Linked DNA regions of Drosophila melanogaster. The gene in region 3 interacts genetically with the main gene of each other region. Each region holds a gene or a part of one and is shown on either strand. Other genes may lie near its edges. The genes, in order: drk, bowl, tor and 14-3-3zeta.

Region 1 (5,022 bases), 5.8 Mb from region 3:
CCTGTTGGATAATGCATAAATATTTAGCGGCGCTTTCGGAAGGCAGGCACGTAGTGGCCATGATTGTTATTATCAATTGTTTATACTCGTATGCTTATGTAATTACTAGAGAAAAAATTCTATTGTCGTTTCGGAAATCCGACGCTGAAAAAAGTGTCAAAGCAACACGAACGTTCACTTTTCGCTGTTTTCGCGACAAGCGAAAGTTGAGCACAGAATCCCATTTCGTGTGTTTCACATTGTTATGATAAAACGTGGCCACTTTTGGTGCCCACACAACAAGGCCGTTAGAATTGGAGGCATTTTTTTTTTTGGAAAATGGAGCTCCAAATATCCAAGAAATACGCTGACCTGTAAACCAGTTTTCTGGAAAGAGAACGAACCCCAATGAAATGTTTGATGATTCACAGCGCTCCTCTCTCTATCGCCTTCTATGCCTGCTGTATGTTTGCTGGATTGGGGCATCTTTTCAGATAAGGCTATCGAGAAGTGACTAATCGCTGGCAAACAAACAAATGCGCTGGGAGTTCGAACAGATATGCGTAACATACATATCTCCAATGCGAGATAATCGTGTATTTCTATTTATCCCCCGCATCAATGGAGCCCAGAACTATGGGCTATTAAACGAACTATGACTATCAGTGCGGATTGTTTACCCATTGATAAGACCGTGCAGCTGGACAGAGGGCTCATCTACGGCGTAGAAGCCCCTCTAATGGACGGGAGCAGCGCACACACTTGACCTTCGGGCGGCGATAAAGAAGCCTCTTCGGCGAGTCATTGACACCATCAATCAGCAGCAGCGGCAGCAGCAGCAACAAATGCTGCAAATGCAGCGGCGGCATATGGAAAAGAGGCGCAAAAAAAAGAGGCACAAAAAGGGAGAAAACCTGCCACGGGCCTGGGTTCCTGCTGTGACTAACCTACGACAAGGTAGACACACAGCAACGAAAATCAGCTTACATCGCGCCCTGGCAACAAGAAACCGGAAAATTCGCCAGCCAAAACAAAGGGTTTGGCCTAGGACAGCCAGCCAGCCAGCCATCGAGCCAGTGAGCCAACACAAACACAAACACCTGGAAGGAAGCAAGGCGGCGAAAAAGATCGAATCGCAGCCTGCCAGCAGCCTTTTTCTTGGCCAGAAAAGCCAGCGAATACAAGCAACACGGGTAAGCATCGGATGTCCCCCACAAAGTTCCGCAAAGTCAAAGGGGGCATCGAATATATCATCACTACAAACTGTTGGAATTGTTTTTCTAAGCATTCGGAAGAAAACGAATAAGGAAAGTTGAAATAGTATATATACTATAGGAATGCTAACAATAAATAAGTTCATTCAAGGAAACACAGTGAAAAATGCTAGATTTGCAAAGTATAGTATATAGATTAAATCATATATGCATGTTTATAGCTTTAGAAACCCCCTCCTCACATCATTTTTTAAACTTACTTTGTAATGCTAATCACAACTATATGCAGATTAAATGGGGTCAAAAATATGGTCTTGATAGATTTGAAGTGCAGTTGAGAAATGAAAAAATGTAGAGTAGAATGTACAATATTTCAGTATGTGATGCTTCACAAGGATTTTGTACTGATAGTGGAATATATTTGACTGAATCTTTTCGTTCTAGTAAGAGTATTCGGGCTGCGGTGGCTAATGAGTCGTAATCCTTTCGTGTTGCCTTCTGCGAATGCACCTTTTGAAACTCTTTAGCCAGCTTTTGCGACTGCTGTCTGTTTGGTCGCGATTTAGTAACAAAATCTGTCTGGGGATTGAACCTAGGATGTGGGTTAAGGCAACGACCTGGACGGCGGCAGCTGCATCGCAGCGGATTATGCATGCAGGACCTGCCACGTCCCCCTGTGCACCCCCTTACACCCTTGCGTGCCCCCATTCAGTGTGAAGTCTATGAATAAATGCAGATATTATGATTTGAGGTGGGAATTGATGATTTTGGAACAGCACTCACCTTTAGAATCTGAGTTTTGCGAAAACTCAGCTCGTCGTCAGCCGTCGCAGAGAAATCGTGTTTGGCAATCGCTTCCATTTTGCTGTGTTGTTTTGTGCGCAGTTAGAAAACGCTTTCGGAGTTTGTTTTAAAATTTAGTTGCAATTGTAGTTTTGGATTTAGTTCTATCAGCCTTGATGCACCACACACACGCACACACAGAGGCACAGACACACACGCTCGTTCTCTGCTCTTTCTCTCTAACTCTCTTTGAATTTCTCTCTCACTCACTACTCAGTGCTGTGGAAATGAAAACGAAACGAGACGAATCCGCGATTAGTTAGCGCACATTATATAAACGATAAATCATGGATATTCGGCAGTGCGCTTTTCTCAGTTCGGTTAATAATAATATATCTTGTGCGAAGGCAAGGGAAGAAAGCGATTAAAAATACACCGACGACGACGACATTCCCAGGCGGAGCAGCAACAGAGAATGAACACAGACACGAGCCGCTCTCTCCACGGCGGCCACTGTGTGGGTGTGTGTGCGTGAGCGTGGCAGCGTTGCCAGCAGCTTGCGATTTGGAATTTCGGGGAAAAGCAGGTACCGCAAAAGCAATTAGACGATGTTTGGCTATTACTTGTTGTTATGCGAAGTAATTTGCCTTAAATAATATGAAATGTGTCGCTTAGAACACAATTAACATTTGGCAATCTAGGGCGTGGGTGCTTGCTGTTGGCAATGCTGCCGCGGTGACGTTGTTGTTTGTTTTATTTTTTGTAACCCCAATAAACACACACACACACACACACGCGGCGCTTATATTTCTATATGCGTAAGTTGCGGCTAACTATTTTCGAGTCTCTGGCACGTGCAAAGAGGCCGCCGGGCTTACAATTTCAAAGGGCTAGGGTGGCTGCAAGCTTAAGCGACACTAATTAGGCGCGGGAGCGGTTTGGCTAACATATTACTACTGCTAAATTTGTAATTCACTTTTATTTTCATAGCAGCGTGACCGTGGCCGGGTCGCTTTATTATTCCAAGAAAATATACTGAACACAACACTGTGGGAGAGGCATACCGCAGGGCTTTCGTAGTTTTCCTTCACCTGGTCACACCGCAAGACGCTTCGCCATTTTAAAAATCAAAACAGGAGACGCTTCGCCGGAAAAGTCAGCATTACGTTTCATTCCCAACCGGACACTTCAGTTTGACTCGCCCATCCGTCACAGCAGTCGCCATGCAGCGCCACAAGGAACTGTACAAGGAGCAATCGCTGGTGCTGAGTCCGCGCAATCACTGCCAGGAGAACAGGGATCGGTTGCAGGCGGCGCGCGCCAAAAAACGAGAGGATTGTTTTTATCAGAACCGCATCATCAGCGTGAGCCCGACGCCCGTCAAAATAAAGCAATTGGCGGCGGCCCAAGCTGCTCTGACCCAGGAAAATGTGGCACCCAAACTGGAGAGTCCGGAGCGGCTGGACACGAAGCCCGCAGAACTGCTGAAGGAATCCAACCCGAAGGTCTCCCGCCAGAAGCTCTACTTACAACGCTACATGGAGTGGAAGATAGCCAAGACCAAGGAGCATAAGCAGCAAGACCAGAAACGTCGAGGCGCAGCCATCAATGTGCCGACAGTAAAACAATCAAAGGCCTTGCCCAAATCACAAACATTTCGGGTTCCCGATAATCTGGCTTCTGCAAAGCAGAAGGAGGCGGCTCCCATGTTCCAGCCTCCCAAGCGGTGTTCTCTCTACATGATTGCCAATCCGACGGGCAAGGGAAAAGCCGCAGAACCGATTAAACCTTCAATACCCAAGCCAACGTCAGCAGCAGCTCCTCCGTCATCCAATACCGTGGCTGCATCTTCCGCCTTGGCCAGGCATAAATCAGCTGCTTCTGCAACAAAAATAGTGCCTGCAATTCGTCAGAACAACAATCCAGTGGCCTTGGCCAGGCAAAAAGCAGCTGCACGACCCATTCCCAACACAACGAAGCAAACTACCAGTGTAAGGCAGCCTGGGATTGAAGCGAAAAAGATCACTACCACCATACCCAGACCCACCCCAGCGACAGTCACGAAAGCGAAAACGCCAGGCATACGACAACAGCCACCAGTGGTCAGCACAAAGCCAAGATTACCTGAGCCGCCAGCGCCACGGACAGCTAGACTGCCCAATGTGTTGTCCAAGCCGTTCGAGAAACCTTTAGGAAACAAGGCACCAGTGACACGACGGGCGAATGTCGTGAAACCACAGCCTATACGTGGCGGAGGTGGTGCCGCGGCCAAGTTCAAGGACACAGCTGGAGCGACCAGCAAGGCAGCAAGTCACTCCATACGAATGAAGGCCACCAAGATAAAGAGCCAGTACACGAGGCTTCAGGACAACGTGCGAAAGCTTCCTCAGCTCAAAGCCGAGTTGCTGCACGCAGCCACGCTAGATATACCGCCTCTCACGCCGCTAGACGATATCCATAATCCCTTTATCGACCAGGCCACATCAACGCAGTGCAAGTCGAACAATAGCAGCGGTCATCTTTTGGAGGCGTTTGGCGACACCATCTTGTTGAGCCCGGTGGCACCGGTCAAAGCTGAAGGAGAAAGTTCGGTGAAAAGGCAGTTGCTGCCGGAAGGTAAGAAAGAGGCGTCAGGTCCGGTGGCAAAGAAAAAGTTCGACTTTACGCGTTACTCAGTGGCGAATTCGCCGGCGGAGGACTCGCTCATCTTGGATCCTCAGCAGACGACGGGTGAGTTTGGGATACGCCTTCTCCAATCTTAAACTCAAACTCACATTTTCCTTTCAGTTAAAGAAGACACTGGAGATTCCACTTTGGTGCCAGAGGGTACAAAGACACCGCCACGTCGCGAATCCAATGGAATGCCCAACTATCTCAGTCCGTTTGTTAGTGTCTCGCGGGGAAAGGTGAACTCGCGCTGTGAGAAGGAGAAACGCAATAGCTTCTACCTGTCCAATGAGGAATCGCCCTTGGAAGTTCGCCGTGCCATTGAATCGGTTCTGTACTTCCGACTGCAGCTGGAAAACGAGATCACGCGCCTCCAAGC
Region 2 (4,955 bases), on a different chromosome or scaffold from region 3:
TGTAGAAGCACTAAGACTATGATTTATTAATTCAAATGCAATTGGATTATGCTAATTGCACACAAATCTTGGTACAAATTATTTATATATTTTTTTCTTCGACAACTTTTGGAACCCAGCCCAAAACTAAACATGTAAACTGATAATCACCTTTCCGCTGTCTGATTTCATTGATAGCATTAAAAATTCATATTCCCTAGACAACATCTAATTTCCCCATCAAAATTGATGAGTTCCCGTTCCAGAACAACAATAAATGAACTGGTCTATCAGGTGAATTATACACACGTGCCAAAACGAGGCGTGTCCATATAGCCATTTCAATTTAAAACCCGAATATGGCGATCCCTAACGAGCCATTGTTCTGCGGTTTTATGGTAAATCTAAATTCATCAAGTATTTTGTCACGATTTTAATTAATTTCGATTTCAATTTTCCTGCCACAAGGCAATTACCAGCAACATTTTCCCCTGCTGCTGGTGCAACCGAAAAATGATAGTTGGTGGCCCAAGATGGAGAGGAAAACCCACCCAAAGAGGTAAAGCGTAATAAACTTTTATGGTACTCCCTTTCTTATGCTAAAACTCTTTTTGGACACAAAACCAAATGGCCCATAAAGCAAGACAATGAATATCCAAAATAGATCTCCACTGAGGCGAAACAAAAGCCAATAACTTTATAGAACCGCAACCAAAAAATACAAAAAAAAAATAATAATAACTCAGACTGTGAGAGCGCGGGAGGCGTTCTACAAAAAAAAAGCTTAAAAATGAAGGAAAAAGTAAAGCATTTAAAAGAAATCAAGAGATGTAGATGACGATGATGATGATGGTCTGAGGTTGAGGCTGAATCCGAATCCGAATCGGTATCTGAACCCAACAGAAGCTTGCGGCAATTGCGTTTCCTCTTTGGCCACACGTTCTGGACAATTAAAGCCCCAGCCGAGCTCCGAATCTGAATCGAGCCAAGTTAAGACAGCGACCACGACCGAAAACCGAAAACAGAAAACCAAAAAAACCGGATTCCAAGCCGAGAAGGAGCGAAAAAGACGGCGAGAGCGACCACTGGCCACTGGCACTGGCTACAAGTGAACTGGTTTACAAAGAAAAGAAACAGAAATGAAAGAAACATGTGAAAAATCACGATCTATAAAGCCGATGCACTTAATACCCTAGGCAAAATAAGTAAATAATACTATAGATCAAACTAGAGTAGACTTGTTGAAAAAAAAACACTGGAATAAATAAGAAGCTTATAAACTATCAGCTTATTAAACTAAGTTTGCCTAAATTTCGTAAAATATATTTTTAAAACCTAACGCGATGCTTTGAAATTCTGTAAAATTAAAGTTTTTCAGAAATGTAACGTTATTAACACCGATTAATATTTTTAAATAATATTTTACAAATTGTGTACACCATTTTCAAACGAAGTACCCTTACCAAGAGCACCCATAAGAGACCCCCAGAATTCCAAGCGAAGGTTTTTCGAGTCCGGCTCGAACCGACCAACTCGAACTGAGCGCCACAGCAACAACAATGGGGCAAGCGGGTGGTTCAGGATGGTGGGGAAGTTTGCGGGGGGATGGGGGACGTACTCCACCGTGGACTGTGCGGCACCACACTGAGTTCAGTGGCAATGACAGTGGCACATGCAGTTGTAGTGGAAGCCGCTTGTCGGTCGACAGTCCGCCAACCGCCAACGTTGTTGCGCTCTCTTTCCTGTTTTTTCGCCCCGTCTCATTCTATTTGTGGAGCAGGTTTTGAGATATATCTTGGGTCTTTCTCTCTCTCTCCTTCTCTGTCTGCGTACTCGTTATATTTTTGTACTCGCTGCCTTTTTGGCCAACGCAAAAAATACCAAAATAAAAAAATAATAAACGTAATTAGCTAGCCCTACGCCACAAACAGAAAACAAAAAAAAAAACAACAAAAAATAAAACAAGTAAAAATAAGTGGTGTGGAATTTTTGTGTTCATCTGGGAAGGCAGGGCCTGTTCTCGGCGGAATCTTACCTGTGGGTTAAACAGAAGAAAGCCCCAGGCTCTTTGGGCTTTATCTTTGCGTCCTAAAGTATCCAAGTAGTTGTTTCAATATGATTTTGCTGGTTTTTTGTCAGTTTGTAAGCTTTGAAATGCTTGGCATTGTTTTTGGTTTTTAAAGTAGTAATTTATATCATTTAAGTGGCACTTGAATTGTATGTTGTTTTTTCTTGTTGTATTTGTTTGAAGACTTCTGTTAATACGATTCTGTGAATTTAAAAGTAAATAATTTTATTAAAATTTTCAAAATATTTGTCGGAAATTTTTTGTTATATTTTCAGGTTTGATTTTAATTTTAACAAGTATTTCACCGAATCATTCTCAAGTAAATGTATTTAAAAAAACACGCACACTAAGGGACAATTTTGAGATTCAAATCACGGCACGATCGCCCCAGGGGGTGGGGCTGAGGGGGCGGCAGGGGGGCGGTTACGGGAGCAGCAGCAGCATCAACGGCAGTCAGCTACCACAAACCACGTAGTTTTTTTCCTTCCAAAATCCACGTACAACTCGCGCACAAACACACGATGTATTTGTATCTCACAGATATGAAAACCGAACGAAGAAAAACCCGAACCGAAACCTCAACCTCAACGAACTGAAAACCGAACGAGAACGAGAGATACACGGCAGCTGAAATGTGTTTTTCTACATTTTGTTTGAAATAGGAGCTGAAGCCAGTGCAGCTACCAATTCGCTCCTCAAGTAGTCCCAAACTCTTCCCACACACAGAGTCAGTTGCAGTTGAAAAGCGCTTTTCTCGAGGCAACTGGCGATGCAACAAGTTCACTCACACACACACACACACTAGCGCTCTGGGCCCGCTCAATAAGATACATCGGCGGCGAAAGATACAGATAGATATAGAGCGAGAGGCACTCACAATGCAGTTCACTTTTCCAACAGCTATTACCAGCGATCCGCGCGCAGGTGCGTTGGCCACGATCAACTCTCGAAGACTGAGCCACGAACCCAAGAAACAGGGCCCGAATGGAAAAAGAGAGAATCGAGAGAATCGCGGGCTGAGAAATGCGTAGAAAGAGACAAGCGACGAGTAGCGAGCAGTGGCACTAAAACCAGCTTAGTGCACTGTGGAAAAAGTTTTAACAATTCTTAAATATCTGAAGAGTAAGGCTCTAATTTTCTGTAAATAACAACAGTATAAATCTATCTGCTTAAATATACTAGATAAATAATGGATGCATTTACATATTTTTCTGAATTAACTAGTAACTTATATTCAGTTTGAATATAGTACGACATTTCTTTCAGTGGAGGAGAGGAATTAAACCGAACTCAACCCAAACCCAACCGGCCGCCAGTCGCACGCTGCTAAATGGACGGATGGGCCCGTGGACGGACTTATATGGAGACTGGCACTGGCGGAGCGTGGAACGTGCATTCGTACGACGAGTTATTGTCAGTTAGAGCGCTACCTGTTTACCGACCGACTACCGACTACCACCGACTGCTTTTTTTTTTTTGGCCCAGTCGAGAGGGTAGGGTACAATTGGCCCGGGTGTTGCCAGATTGCCGTTGCTGCTGCTGCCCATGGATCGTTATGGTGGCTTCACCCGAAAAGGAGGAGGAGGGTGTAACTCTGGTAGTTCCCTGTTTATTGTTATGCCTTTTTAGTGGGGGTGTATTTTGTTCTTCGGCTTTTGTTGCGGTTTCATTTAGGGGAATGACTAATCAGAAAGCATTTTTAGGGAGGCAAGGTGATAAGGTTTCTTCGAAGAAGGGGTTGCCAAGTCGAAAGTTGGGGTGAAATAAAGTGCATTACTCACACGACTATATATCTATATTATGACAAGTTCCAATGTTCTACTGATAAGTAAATATTTATTTGGAATAATTAGTTGGTAGCTTTAGGGAAAAATATTTATACATATGTATTTAAATATACACTGATGATTAATCGGCAGCCGAGTTATACAATTCATTTATGGAAATAGGTCGTAAAACAATATAAGTCTAGAAACCATCTTATCGCCAGACTGACTTTTATTAATGGTAATTAGTCCTTATAAAAGAAGGCGAGCACGGGAACTTGGAAAAAAATAAAACATAGGTAAATGATTGATTCGAGCTAGGCTATGTAAATAGGTCTTATATTATTATAATAGACTGTAAAATTTCTATTCTAACAATCTGGCAACCTCTGCTCGCAATGCAGCATCAATGCGGTCAAGTGGTAAAAGAAAAGACGTTAACAAAAAGACCAAAAATCAGCTAGGGTCCCAAAAGTAGAGGGAGTTACGTTTCGGCCACGACGGTGATCATGGTCGTAATGATTCCGAGATGCAGAAAAGAAAAACCCGAAAAGTACCCAACAAAAGAGAGTCCGTAGCCATGTAATTAAGGTGCTGCACAGTGGAACTAAATTGTGGCTGCTGCCACTGCAAAAACAGTAAGTGGAAATGGAGATACAAAGCGGCAACAGGCAGAAGACCAGAAATAAGTGGTAGAAAAGAGAAGACGGAAAAACGGTAGCTGCCTCATAGGGCGAGCGAATTGTTATGCTAGTCGTCGTCGACTTCCCCCATCAACAACTGTTGCTCTTGCTGCACTCGGAAAATAATTTTCAGCATATATAAATAACAATAAGTAAATAAGAAATAAAATAAATAATTACCATAATTGGTCTCCCTTATAATTGGATTCCACAATACATAAAATTGAAATTGACTATTGTTTAATAATAATATCTAATATCTAACCCTTACCTTGCTCTTTTTGCTTAAAATAAAGATGTACAAATAAGATATATATGCTAATGCGAACCATAAGATCGTTGTGATTTTTCTGAGTGCCCGTCGGTTGAAGTGGCTTCCCTCCTTGCATATTTTGCATCGCTTTACGATTTTAAAATAAATTACTTGAAATTTGTGTAAAACATGTGGCCAACTCGGAG
Region 3 (6,274 bases):
AGCAAAATATAATGAGCTGCCTCTGGAGATCGACATAATCTTTTTGCCAAGGCAAATATGACCCGTCGATTGAGGTCCAGCCAGCGCGGTGGCAAGGTGTCGCAGGGATCGGGGGTTGGCTCCCGATCCGGACCTCTTATGAAAGGATTCTCGGCGAGGGGCCGACTGCCCAGTGGACAGCAGCTGGAGATGGTGCGCACCGGGCAGTGTGGACAGCTGTAGGGAATCGGTGGACATGGTGTCCGGCGGAGGCGACAGCAGTGGATGCACATCGATCGAGGTGGCCAGAAGTAGAATTGAAACACTGTAAACAAGCCAGCTTGGACCGACTTTCAATTTGGAATTTTCAAAAATGATGCTGATTGGGGTCCAAATAAACGACCTTCTTTCGAAACCTAAGCCGCAAGGAGGCACAAACATTTTGAAATGGTCGGTTTCTATGAGACATAAAGGGCACTGCTAGAAGTTTACTCTATAAATATCTTGGTTTTTCTTATAAAAAAGAAATTAAATTTTTCTTAGGCTAGCTTTAATGTTTATTGCTATGCAAGGTTATCTGGCGCATAGCATTGTCTGAATTGGAACTCGAATTTAGAATGTATTGCACTCGTTCATTATAATCTTGAAGCAATGACTATTAATTCAAAGGTTCTAGGTATAGCTCTTCCTCGCATGGCACTTGCTCCACTTTACTAAATTGTAAAAGGTAAGAAAGTAACGTATACAATTGTCTTTTTAAAGATTACTTACCTGTTTAGACCGTCACATGACTTTAATTTTGACTCGGTTGCAGCTTGCAGTTGTTTCAGCCTTTCTGGAACATCGTTAGTGGCCAAAATCATGCCACCAAGTCTGTGTTTAAGGGCGGAAAATGTTGGCCTGTGTGATGGCACGGAGCTCCAGCAGCTTTCCATCAGGGAAAACCTGAGTTAAGCAAATGTGATCAACAATTATGTACTTCGCTAAGCACTGATACCCACATTTCTTGCGTACATCCCTCCGGTCGCTTCATCCGATGACCTTGTCGCAGTAGCTGCAAGAGATCACTGGGAGACACCGACGGATATGGCATTCCACCGAGAGTGGTGATCTCATAGAGCAGCACACCAAAGGACCAACTAAGAGGGTAAGATATCAGCCACAAAATCGCTTCGGACTTAACAAAAATATATACTTACACATCGCTCTGACTGGTGTACACCTGGTGGGTGAGGGACTCCAGCGCGAGCCACTTGATGGGCAGCTTGCCACTTCCTCCGGACTTTCGGTACACGTTCTCATGATACACATCTCGACTCAGCCTTAAAAAAAAAAACACAATATAACTAATCATTGAACTTTCAGAGATACCCACCCAAAATCTGCTATCTTGATGCTGCGATCTACGGAGATTAGAACATTCCGGGCAGCCAGATCCCTATGCACTACTTTGTTTTGGGCCAGAAATTCCTAAAATGGCAAATGATACATGCTACACTTTTTAATTACATTTAGGGATAGAGTAGATGTAGGCTACCATTCCCACCGCCACCTGTTGGGCGATGTCTAGCAAATCTGCATATTTCAGTGGTATTCGGGGCTTGGTATCCGATGAGTCGAGGCAATCAAAGTATTCCTTGTTCTCAAAGATTCGCTTCTTGTTGTCCGATTTGAAATCCTGCTTCGAGTCTTTCTTGGGCTGCGGCTTCAGCTTCCGTTTTGGCCGATCCTTTGGAGCTTCAGCGGTTTTGGGAATGTAACTCCCACCGATGTTTTCAATGTCCTCCAGGCCATAGCCCTTGTTGTCGGCTGCATTGGTTATTCGAGTGAGGGTGTAGGTCTCACATCGACTTGAGTGTGTCTGATCCGATTCACTCTCCTCTTCCACAGTGGACAGCATCGAGTTGTTGATATCCTCTATGCGATCATGGATGGAATTTCTAGGGAGTCGGTTAAACCGTCGGTTGTCCACGTTCTGTTCAAGGTTCTTCTTAAGTCCAATTGCATTTTGCTCCTGCCTGAACTTCCACTCCTCACTAAGTAATACATTTTTTACTATACATCACTTGTTTTCCAATATGTATAAAAATAACTTACCGTAAAAAGTTCTGCAGGCTTCCAAGGCTGCAGTATTCAATTAGCAACATCATCTGGTTGCTAAAACGAGTGGAGTATCCCACGATACCCACAATATTTGGATGCTTGCCCACGGCCTTGAGCATCTGAATTTCGCACTTGAACGCATATACGTCCTCGTCGTTTGGTTCATCTGTGAGAACAAAAATTCCATGAATTATTCAAGAACTTCAATACCAAATGGTACAACCTTTCAGCAACTTGACGGCCACTTGGCGTTTCTTGTAAACTCCACGTCGCACCAAGCCAAAGGCTCCTTCGCCGAGGACATCCTGAAGGAGCACCGAGTGTGGCTCCACCTCCAGCTCGTCCATTACTTCCAGACTCTCGTTGGCCGAGAGGGTGACCAGCAGGCCACTGCTGTCCATCAGGGAGAGATGAAATTCACTGGCCTTCGCGTCCTTAGCGTCCATTTGCAGCGCCTGAACCTCCGAACGATTTCGTCTGCAGAACGTCAGGGAGCACAGCATCAAAATGCAGCATATGGGCACGATAATAAAGAGTACCAACTTGACCATGTTGCCCTCTGTTCAATGGATGGAAATGGATGTCTAAATATTTAATTTCCTTCAGCGTACGTACCGCTCAGCAACACACCTCGATGAACCTTGTCCAACGTCAAACCGGATACGTTTTTTCCGCCTGCCGACTGGGCCACCAAATGTACTTCGAAATGGGAACCCAGTACCGTGATCTTGGGTACATAGAAGTGGCTCCTGTTTTGGTCAAGTGTATAGTTTAGCTCCGTACCTCCTTTGAATAGATCAAAGATGTGAAGTGTATAGTTATCCGGCAGGTATCTGGGACGCGCCCAGGTGATGTTCAGGGCCAAAATATTTGGCAGATACTGCTTCTGGGTCACAGTAAGATTCTCTGGCTTATGGGGTGCTATGAAAGGGTGGAACAATATTATTATTATTAATATTATTATTATATAGGACTTTCGAGGAACCTACGGCAGAGTGTGTAGTTATAGGGATACCAATCCAAGCAGCTTGGAACAGCGATTGGCAGCCACTGCAGATCGCTCTCCAGTCGATTCATTATGTTCACCGTTCTTACGCCAACGTGATACTGTTTGTCAAACTCCAAGTTGTCCACCGTGTGCCTGTACAGCTTTTTGCGCTGCAGTAAAAGATTAGCTATGCTCTAGCATTGCAGGGGCGTCATGGCATACTCACATCCCGGAACTGCACCTCCAGTGGCTCGTCCATATTCACGCTGTTGGTTGAATACGACACCATGTCGAAATAGCAGTTGCTCTCTGGAATATGAAAGTAGGGTTCGTAGATCGTTGATTGATTAAACTGATGGAGCTACTTACCCGCCGATGGCTTCCACTCGATTTCGGCAGCAATGTGATGCAGGTCGTCTGGTTGGGGGACAAACCGCAGCAGATTCACCGCTCCCATTTTGCTGGGCTGATAGCCTCGGATGAGGGTGGCGAAGGTCTGGTCCTTTGCTATCAAGGAGTAGCTGCCATCTCCGTGCATCGCCAGGGCGGTGATGTTGTGGGTAGAGTTGGACTCCAATCCCGGCAGGATGAGAAAGTTGTCATCAGACTGCAAGCGAATAAGTCGATGAAAAAGAGCGATCCACTTGTAAAACGAAACATTAGGTCTTGATGACTACATAGTACATCTTTTTCTAGAAATTCATCAAATAAAATGGTATTTTAAAGTAAATAGTAATGAGTTTACATCTAATATCTGACCAGGTAAAGCGCAGTTTCTTTGTTGTCGTCCTTGACAGCATCCACCCGGATTATGTAGGTGGCATTTGGAGCCGGCTCGGTTCCCCTGCTGTGCTGCACCCAATCTATTTGGAAAACGATTTCCGACTCCGTGCGGCAGATCATGTTCATCTGGTAGTTTTCCTGCACCTTGCGCAGAGCCCCGGGAAATGTTCCATTAATCCTGCAGTCCTTTAAACAGCTTCGGAAATCCTGTCGAGAAAAGAAGCATGCACTTTTGGTTATGGAGTGTTCCAACATTCTAAGGGTGTAAACATACCATCTGGCCCTTTTCCAGACAATTCTGGGTGCAAGCGGTGACGTTGAGAAGCGTCTTATCGTGAGAGATTTTGTCCATTAGCAACATTTCACCTTGATTGCTTCCCACGAAAAACCAGAAGATAAATGCGTACTTCGCGTAGAAAATAAGCATTTTCCTTGTTCTGCTTTTGAAACCCTTCTTTAGTTCTTCGTTGTGTGTCGGTGTGTGTGTGTTGGAATGAAATGTGTATTTGTTTAAAACCGACTTAAAGTTTATTGCACTTTTGCCACCACGCACTTTGATACAAAACTCAATAACACACACAGCAAATTCGAATACTTAGTTTCTAGATTCCAACTTTCGAGATCAATACCATCCGTCCTTCTCGGATTATCTTGCTGAACTGAGAAAGAACTGAGAAACTGAGGCCAAAAATGCGATGGTAAAAAAGCGACGAAGAAGGAGGAATGATGAGAAGCGGCGGACTCGTTGAATATATTTTGCGCTATTTTGTTTTGATTTGTTTTTCACCTCTTCACTGCATCGTATTGTACTTGATCGTATGGATGGGATTGGACTAGGGGTCATTTGAAATGCAAAAATTTGGATCGCTACTCCGTCATAGTAGCGCCAGGGCTTGGGATAAGCATAGAACATTGACTTCAGATAACTCTTCGCAATTTTCATTTGTGATACCACCAACAACGTTTGTATTTCAATCTTCTATGATCTGTTGCGCCAAAAGAGCTTGTATTGCAGCAAACCGATAAATCAGAATGCAGTGCTGGTCGCTTCCATCCCTAGAAACCATGTTGGGCGCCAATATTCGAAATTAACCAAAAAACAACTATGCTAATTTCGCCCACATTGTAGCTTTTGCGTGATCACACTTTCCCTGATTCCATTTCAATTGGAACAGAGCTGACAATACAGGTATTTCCTTATAGCGACTTGCAAATGCACATGACCTCAGTTGCCTCTGATTCAGGTTATTCGTATAGAACGCTCGATTACATTGGTGACTCAATTGTTGCATCGCATTCGAGTACTCGAAACACTCACATGGGAAACTCGAGCATTCAGTGCCACTCGCAAGTTTAGTTAAATGTTGTACGCTCGCATCGTCGGTTCTGCTGCTCAAACGCGATAACGATCCATTACGTGTGTAAACATTAATAATAAATTTCTATGGGAGCGTCTAGTTTATTAAAGCTCTACAAGTTTAAAATAATTAGCCTGTGATACTAGGCCAAAGCGGATCGGATCAAAAGCAATACGAGTAACTCCCAGTTAGTTTTATCACCATTCAATTAAAGTGAGGAGGTTGTCGTGCAACAGCAGTTTCGTTCTCTTTCTAAAGGCATTCAAACCAGTTGCAATTGAAATTTCAAAACAATAATTATATATATGTGATCACAAGTATCGGACAAACGTTAAAGCCGGCTGTTGTTGGCAATGATAAGATCATATCATATAATATCATATCGGCATTCTAGCCAGACGTCCATATAGAGCAAGTCATTATCTTGATTGCTCGAATTTTTAAACACCCCAAGCGAATAGCCATTAAATCGAAGGTATTTTTTTAACAACTCTAACCAATAGCCACGCACTCGCGCCACCGACGGATACTGATAAGGATAAGAAATGGTAACTAAACATTGAACATTTCCATTTTTCAGTCGCCGGAGGACCGTGCTACCAAGTAGTTCAACTTTCCGAGTTCGAGAGCTCTGACATCATGAAAATCGAGTGGGCTCCCAAAGGAGTTCCCATGGAACGGCGTCGCCAGACGTTTGCCATGGCCTTCCTAATCCTATCCTTTATGATACTCTCCTTTGGATCCTATTTCTTCGTTGCTGCCGTGCTGGTAAATACATCAGTGCTTCAATATTTTGAAAAGTAAAGCATTCCCTTCCAGTTCTATGGAAGCCTTTTGTGGCGCACCATTATGGTCATCTATTTGGTCTACGTCTACGCGAATCACAAGAGAACCCACTCCATTATGGATGGCAATGGGTAGGCGTCATGAAGTCCCTATAAGAACACTTAAAGCTAAAATAATCCATTTTAGCTGGAAAATTAACCGCAACAATTGGCTGTTTCGGCATTATCGGGACTACTTTCCCGTACAGCTGGTCAAGACCGCAGAGCTGCCGCCGAAT
Region 4 (4,846 bases), 2.4 Mb from region 3:
GCGACCGCTGAATAGTTGCTACATTGAAATGGTTAGGTGAAAAATAGTCTCCAAAATGTTTGAAACCCCATACAAATGTTCTTTACTGAAGCTAACAACTAGTTTCAAAGACCCAGTAACATTGGCAGAAGCAATTATAAATGCTGATTTCTGCGCAGTTGCCTAAAAACCAACCAATTGAAGTTTAAACCATATGAAAACAGCTATTATTTGTGTTGCGACCGACCGCCAAATTGAAAAAGCATTGACCCTTTGTCAAAACAAAAAGGGCGGCGGGGCGTGGCGTAGCAAAAATATGGAAGGGGGAGGGTGCGGTGCGGTCTCCCGACGCGTTTTTAGGTCAATTGGCATGTTTTCTGCCTGTGCTCGGTAAATGCCAAAACATTAAGCCAGGCGTAACGTAAATTAACGTAACACTCCCCTAAATGGTCACAAATATGTTTGTAGTTTTTATCGGATAAATCAAAGGAGGAAAAACTTGTTTCAACCACGCAGATTGCTCATCTGCCTGAATGAATAAATTGGTAAATAGGGGGAAAAACAGGTGGGAGGTGGGTATCTCGAAGTTATAGATACGTAGACCTTAGAGGACGGTTTAACACCCATATGGTCAGGCTAATTTCGGGGCTAGAAAATCCTGCGAAATCCGTGTCGGATGGATACTTGGTACTTTAAACCTTATCTGCGCCGGCCGACAGCATGCGCAGTAGCTCAAGAACCCCCCCCCCCCCCCCAAACCCCCCGAGACCGAGCCGAGCAAGAACCCAATCCCCGATGATGTAGAAATTCCTCTACACTGTAGATACCGCTACTGCGGCTCTACATGGGGCGAAAAAGTTACTAACTTTTATTGGGGCTGTGTGCGTGCGACTCTGCGTGTGTCGGTGCGTTCTGGGTGGTGGTGGTAATGGTGGTGCGGATGGGTGAGATGGTGTTGGTGGGGCCGCCAATCGTGTTTCCAAGTGCGGCGCTACAAAATTATAAAAATAATCGGGAGAAAGGAGGAGCGAGGTGGGAGGGAGGGAGAGAGCGGAGAACGCCGCAGAGAGAGGCCGAAATGTATCTACCACAGGCGGCCGCCAAGTGTGTTGAGTTTGGCGAGGAAACCCACCTAACCGCGTGTCCCCATCCAAGTATCAACTTGGATATATATATATATATATCTATCTTGGCGTACTGTGTGTACATATAGCTGGCTATATAAGCGTAAATATAGAAGTCGGCTATGTCCGCCGCCTACAACTTAACCGATGAACTGCTGATGATGATGAGAAATACGAAGCTACAAGCGAATCTCACCGCATCACATACATGCACCAATACTCGGGCAACTCGGGAATGTTCTTTTCTTTCATTTTCTTTTCTTTTCCTTATTTTGCACAAATTTACACTTTATTCTTTTGCGTAGATTTTTTTTTTTTGGCTTCGGATCGATGTCTGATTTATGTATTTCGATTTTTCTGCGGGACGAAGTATAGATGCATGTAAGTGATTGCTCATAGGCGGCATTACACGTGTTTTTTCTTCGGATATTTTAGCAATTTTACGTTTTATAATTCCATACACACACTGGCAGGCGCACACACATAGGTACAAGGCACTCTGGGCCAGCAAAAATGTTACTTACATTCTCGATTAACTGAAACTGAAACGACAACGAACACTACCAACGAACGAATGAGAATGACGGACGGCAAAGGTTGCACACATTCGCCGCGCCGCTGTATCTGTGTTTCTGCGCTCTCTCCCCACGCACACTCTAGCAGGGGCACATGCGCCGCCGCAGAATGAGAGGGAGCATATGGGGCTGGCTCAGGCGAGAGCGAGAAAGTGCGACAAGTGAGAGAGTTTCAGGGTTGCCAACCTGCTGTATAAATTAATGTTGCCAGGTGTGCAGGTAAAACTTGGAAACCAAACTTTCAGATAAAATATACTAATTAATAGGCGTCTCAGAACTTGTAGATAGAGAGCTTTAAAATGAGCCAGCTTTTATTGTCAAGTCTTTGTGTTATCATCGTTTTATGAAGTAATAGTTTATAGTTCGTTTCCAACCTGTTGAAACTTTCGAGCGCTTATCTCGCTGCCAGATTACGCTTTTATCTTGACTTTATGGCCTCCGCAAGGAGGAAACTAATCGGGAGATGTATGCCATTGATAAGGGGGTGGCGGTAAATTGCCTTAATTCTAATTTGGATTTCATTGAATTGGTGCACTCACACATAAAAACGAGATATCCACGTACTTATGATTTTCGTGAGGTGAGGCAGGGCCTACGATTGTGGGCCGGAAGTTAAGGCGAGGATTTAACAATCAATTTCTAGTTCTAATTATACTTAGTCCTGTCAATATGGGATAATTCGACAAAATTAGAGTATATTCTTTTGAGTCTTCTTCTATTGTTAATTATACAATAAGAAAATATATTTAATATTCTATGATGTTTTTGTATTACATTAAGCATAATGTTCAAGTCATTAAAAAAAAAAAACGGTAATTAGGTGTACGAGGAATTTTCTAAATAATCGTGTAAGTGTATTGCAATTCAACTCGTGCGTGGCGAAGACATGCTCACGCGCTCATCTCTACATTTTACTACAGCTCACAAAGAACAAGACGGAAAAAATTACGTCATCGGCGTCCTATTTGGTTGCGGTAATGAAAAATTGCTACGTCCATTTCCAATTGTAATGGGATTTTCGCAAGGCCAGTACCGCACGCAATCAAATGCGGAGAGCCCAAGGGGCAGGTGGCATCCAATTAGGAGGCCAACGGAATCGATAAAGTGCGTGGGCGCACTTATTCGGGGAAAATTTTATCCGCCGACAATATGGCGGTCGCAAGCCGACACACGACGCACTAGGTGAAACTACTTACTGCGCCTGGGTTTTCAAGCGAATATCGAATATATGCGTAATCCTTGGGCTCTCAGCACACGACTTTTAACTTAGTTTTAAACGAGCAAGCACTTATTAATTAGTTAATTCACCTCTTACGGCTCGGACGTGAAGGTTCTTCTTCTTCTCTACGCGCAGATGTGTTGGAAAACGAGGAAAGCTGAAGTAGGGATTGGCCCGCAGGAATTTTCCAACCCGCACGGTGCGAAATTCCGATACACGATAGAGCTATCGATTGTTGGTTAGGAACATTTACCATCTCTAGAAGGCCGCACGTGTTTACGTTCGGTGGGAAATATTCTTGGTTTCTGTTAAGAAAACGTTGCTATTTAAAGGCTACAGATATGCCGCGCTCCAAACGTGATAAGAAAGGTGAGAGTTTCGGCTTTAATATATACGATTTGTACTTATAACGTGCGATACTCTTCTTCCCTTAGTTTCCCTGACCAAAACCGACCGCAAGGGTCTGGCTTGGAAACAGCGCATTGTGGACGACATTCGGTTCTGCGTGGGCAAATACCCAAATATATTCGTTTTCCAAGTTCAGAACATGAGGAATAGCTTGCTGAAGGATCTGCGACAGGAGTTGAAAAAGAATTCTCGTTTTATCTTTGGCAAGAATCGTGTTATGCAGATTGGCTTGGGTCGCACGAAGAGCGAGGAAGTGGAGCCGGAATTGCACAAGGTAATTAAGTTTAAGTGGATTAACATATATCAGACACTAATCACAGGCTATGTCTATTAGCTATCCAAGCGATTAACTGGCCAGGTGGGACTGCTTTTCACGGACAAATCCAAGGAGGAAGTCCTGGAGTGGGCAGAAAACTACTGGGCCGTGGAATACGCACGCAGTGGCTTTGTGGCCACGGAAACGGTTACCCTGCCAGCAGGTCCCCTAGAGGACTTCGCCCACTCTATGGAACCGCATCTGCGTTCCCTGGGCCTGCCCACCAAATTGGAGAAGGGAATCGTTACGCTGTACAGTGACTACACGGTTTGTGAGGAGGGCAAAGTTCTAACACCCGAACAGGCGAGAATCCTCAAGCTGGTGGGCAAGCCCATGGCCAAATTTCGGCTGACCATGAAGTGCTCGTGGACAAAAAGCGAAGGCTTCCAGCTGCATGTCGAGGATGATGTGAACGACGAGGAACAGGCTGATAGCGCAATGGAAGAGGAGGCCGAGGCCGAGGCCATGGATGACAACGACGACGATGATGACGAAGAGGAGGATGATGAATAAATAAGTTTAAGGCGTAGAAATAATTTTTTTATGTATATATCAAGTGCAGAAAATATACGTATATTTTAAAAGTACATTACATATTATCTTACGTTCAACACAGATAATACTTGATTAACACTAGCTTATACTAATAACTAAGTAAACAAAACACTTAAGAAGCATTTCAGATATTGCAGCTAAAACCAAAGAAAGGCACAAAGCCTCAGGTTGCGTCGTCCGCGAGGATGTAGAGCACCAGAGGCTGTTCGTTATCGCTCTCCTCCTCCAGGAGTTCGCTGTTAGTTAGGGAAATATCCTGAGAGGCCGAGCCCTCCAGCTCCAAGGCACCGGTGCTAGCACTTGAAAAGAATTCCAGAGGCATGGGTTGCTCGGGATCTTCAGGATTCGAGGGGGTTTCAGTCTCCAGTGCCACGTCCTCCTCATCATTCTCCCCGGCTGACAACTCCAAATGTTATTGGTCTGTCGAGTTCGGCGGCACCGTGCAGCCCGCGGCAATGTGCTCCATCACCTGCTGCTTCAGCTGCGCCACATGGTCCTTGAGGTTCTTCACGATGCTAGCCAGGTCGACGTTCTCGCCCTTAAGTACCTTCACGCGATCCTCCAGCTTTGAGATGCGCTCCAACTTGCGCTTGCGGCACTTGGATGCAGCCACACGGTTACGCTGCCTCTTGCGCTCCAGCTTGATCTTCTCCTGCGCTTCCATGTCAAT

Evidence for each region.
Region 1: of tor (region 3) and drk, changing one suppresses a phenotype caused by changing the other (phenotypic suppression), as found in Drosophila melanogaster (2 studies listed by BioGRID).
Region 2: of tor (region 3) and bowl, changing one suppresses a phenotype caused by changing the other (phenotypic suppression), as found in Drosophila melanogaster (2 studies listed by BioGRID).
Region 4: of tor (region 3) and 14-3-3zeta, changing one suppresses a phenotype caused by changing the other (phenotypic suppression), as found in Drosophila melanogaster (2 studies listed by BioGRID).

Annotation. Positions count from the first base shown.
Region 1 is NT_033778.4:13,499,837-13,504,858, forward strand, and holds the start of drk (downstream of receptor kinase), read right to left. Parts: upstream 3,006-5,022; 5' UTR 2,855-3,005; exon of another isoform or gene 2,089-2,854; 5' UTR 2,055-2,088; coding exon 1,977-2,054; exon of another isoform or gene 1,638-1,976; intron 1,173-1,637; exon of another isoform or gene 785-1,172; intron 1-784. Other genes in the region: mars, read left to right, coding at 3,200-4,706, 4,764-5,022.
Region 2 is NT_033779.5:3,769,754-3,774,708, reverse strand, and holds the start of bowl (brother of odd with entrails limited), read right to left. Parts: upstream 3,010-4,955; 5' UTR 2,836-3,009; intron 2,790-2,835; exon of another isoform or gene 2,694-2,789; intron 2,684-2,693; exon of another isoform or gene 2,393-2,683; intron 2,249-2,392; 5' UTR 2,015-2,248; intron 1-2,014. UniProt on the Drosophila melanogaster protein: Putative transcription factor. Required for leg joint formation, acting downstream of Notch to pattern the leg tarsal segments. Functions in the terminal pathway during embryogenesis, acting downstream of tll in the posterior of the embryo.
Region 3 is NT_033778.4:7,704,666-7,710,939, forward strand, and holds tor (torso), read right to left. Parts: upstream 4,520-6,274; 5' UTR 4,281-4,519; coding exon 4,128-4,280; intron 4,061-4,127; coding exon 3,830-4,060; intron 3,678-3,829; coding exon 3,440-3,677; intron 3,380-3,439; coding exon 3,297-3,379; intron 3,241-3,296; coding exon 3,072-3,240; intron 3,004-3,071; coding exon 2,698-3,003; intron 2,642-2,697; coding exon 2,306-2,641; intron 2,249-2,305; coding exon 2,077-2,248; intron 2,016-2,076; coding exon 1,517-2,015; intron 1,450-1,516; coding exon 1,355-1,449; intron 1,302-1,354; coding exon 1,179-1,301; intron 1,119-1,178; coding exon 981-1,118; intron 925-980; coding exon 751-924; intron 693-750; coding exon 638-692; 3' UTR 518-637; downstream 1-517. Other genes in the region: CG34216 (uncharacterized protein), read right to left, coding at 1-272; CG1941 (uncharacterized protein), read left to right, coding at 5,851-5,979, 6,031-6,128, 6,184-6,274. UniProt on the Drosophila melanogaster protein: Probable receptor tyrosine kinase which is required for determination of anterior and posterior terminal structures in the embryo.
Region 4 is NT_033778.4:10,097,879-10,102,724, reverse strand, and holds the start of 14-3-3zeta (14-3-3zeta), read right to left. Parts: upstream 3,049-4,846; 5' UTR 2,987-3,048; exon of another isoform or gene 2,875-2,986; intron 1,690-2,874; exon of another isoform or gene 1,548-1,689; intron 1-1,547. Other genes in the region: RpLP0-like (ribosomal protein LP0-like), read left to right, coding at 3,239-3,266, 3,332-3,579, 3,640-4,134; Jra (Jun-related antigen), read right to left, coding at 4,589-4,846. UniProt on the Drosophila melanogaster protein: Required in Raf-dependent cell proliferation and photoreceptor differentiation during eye development. Acts upstream of Raf and downstream of Ras, and is essential for viability.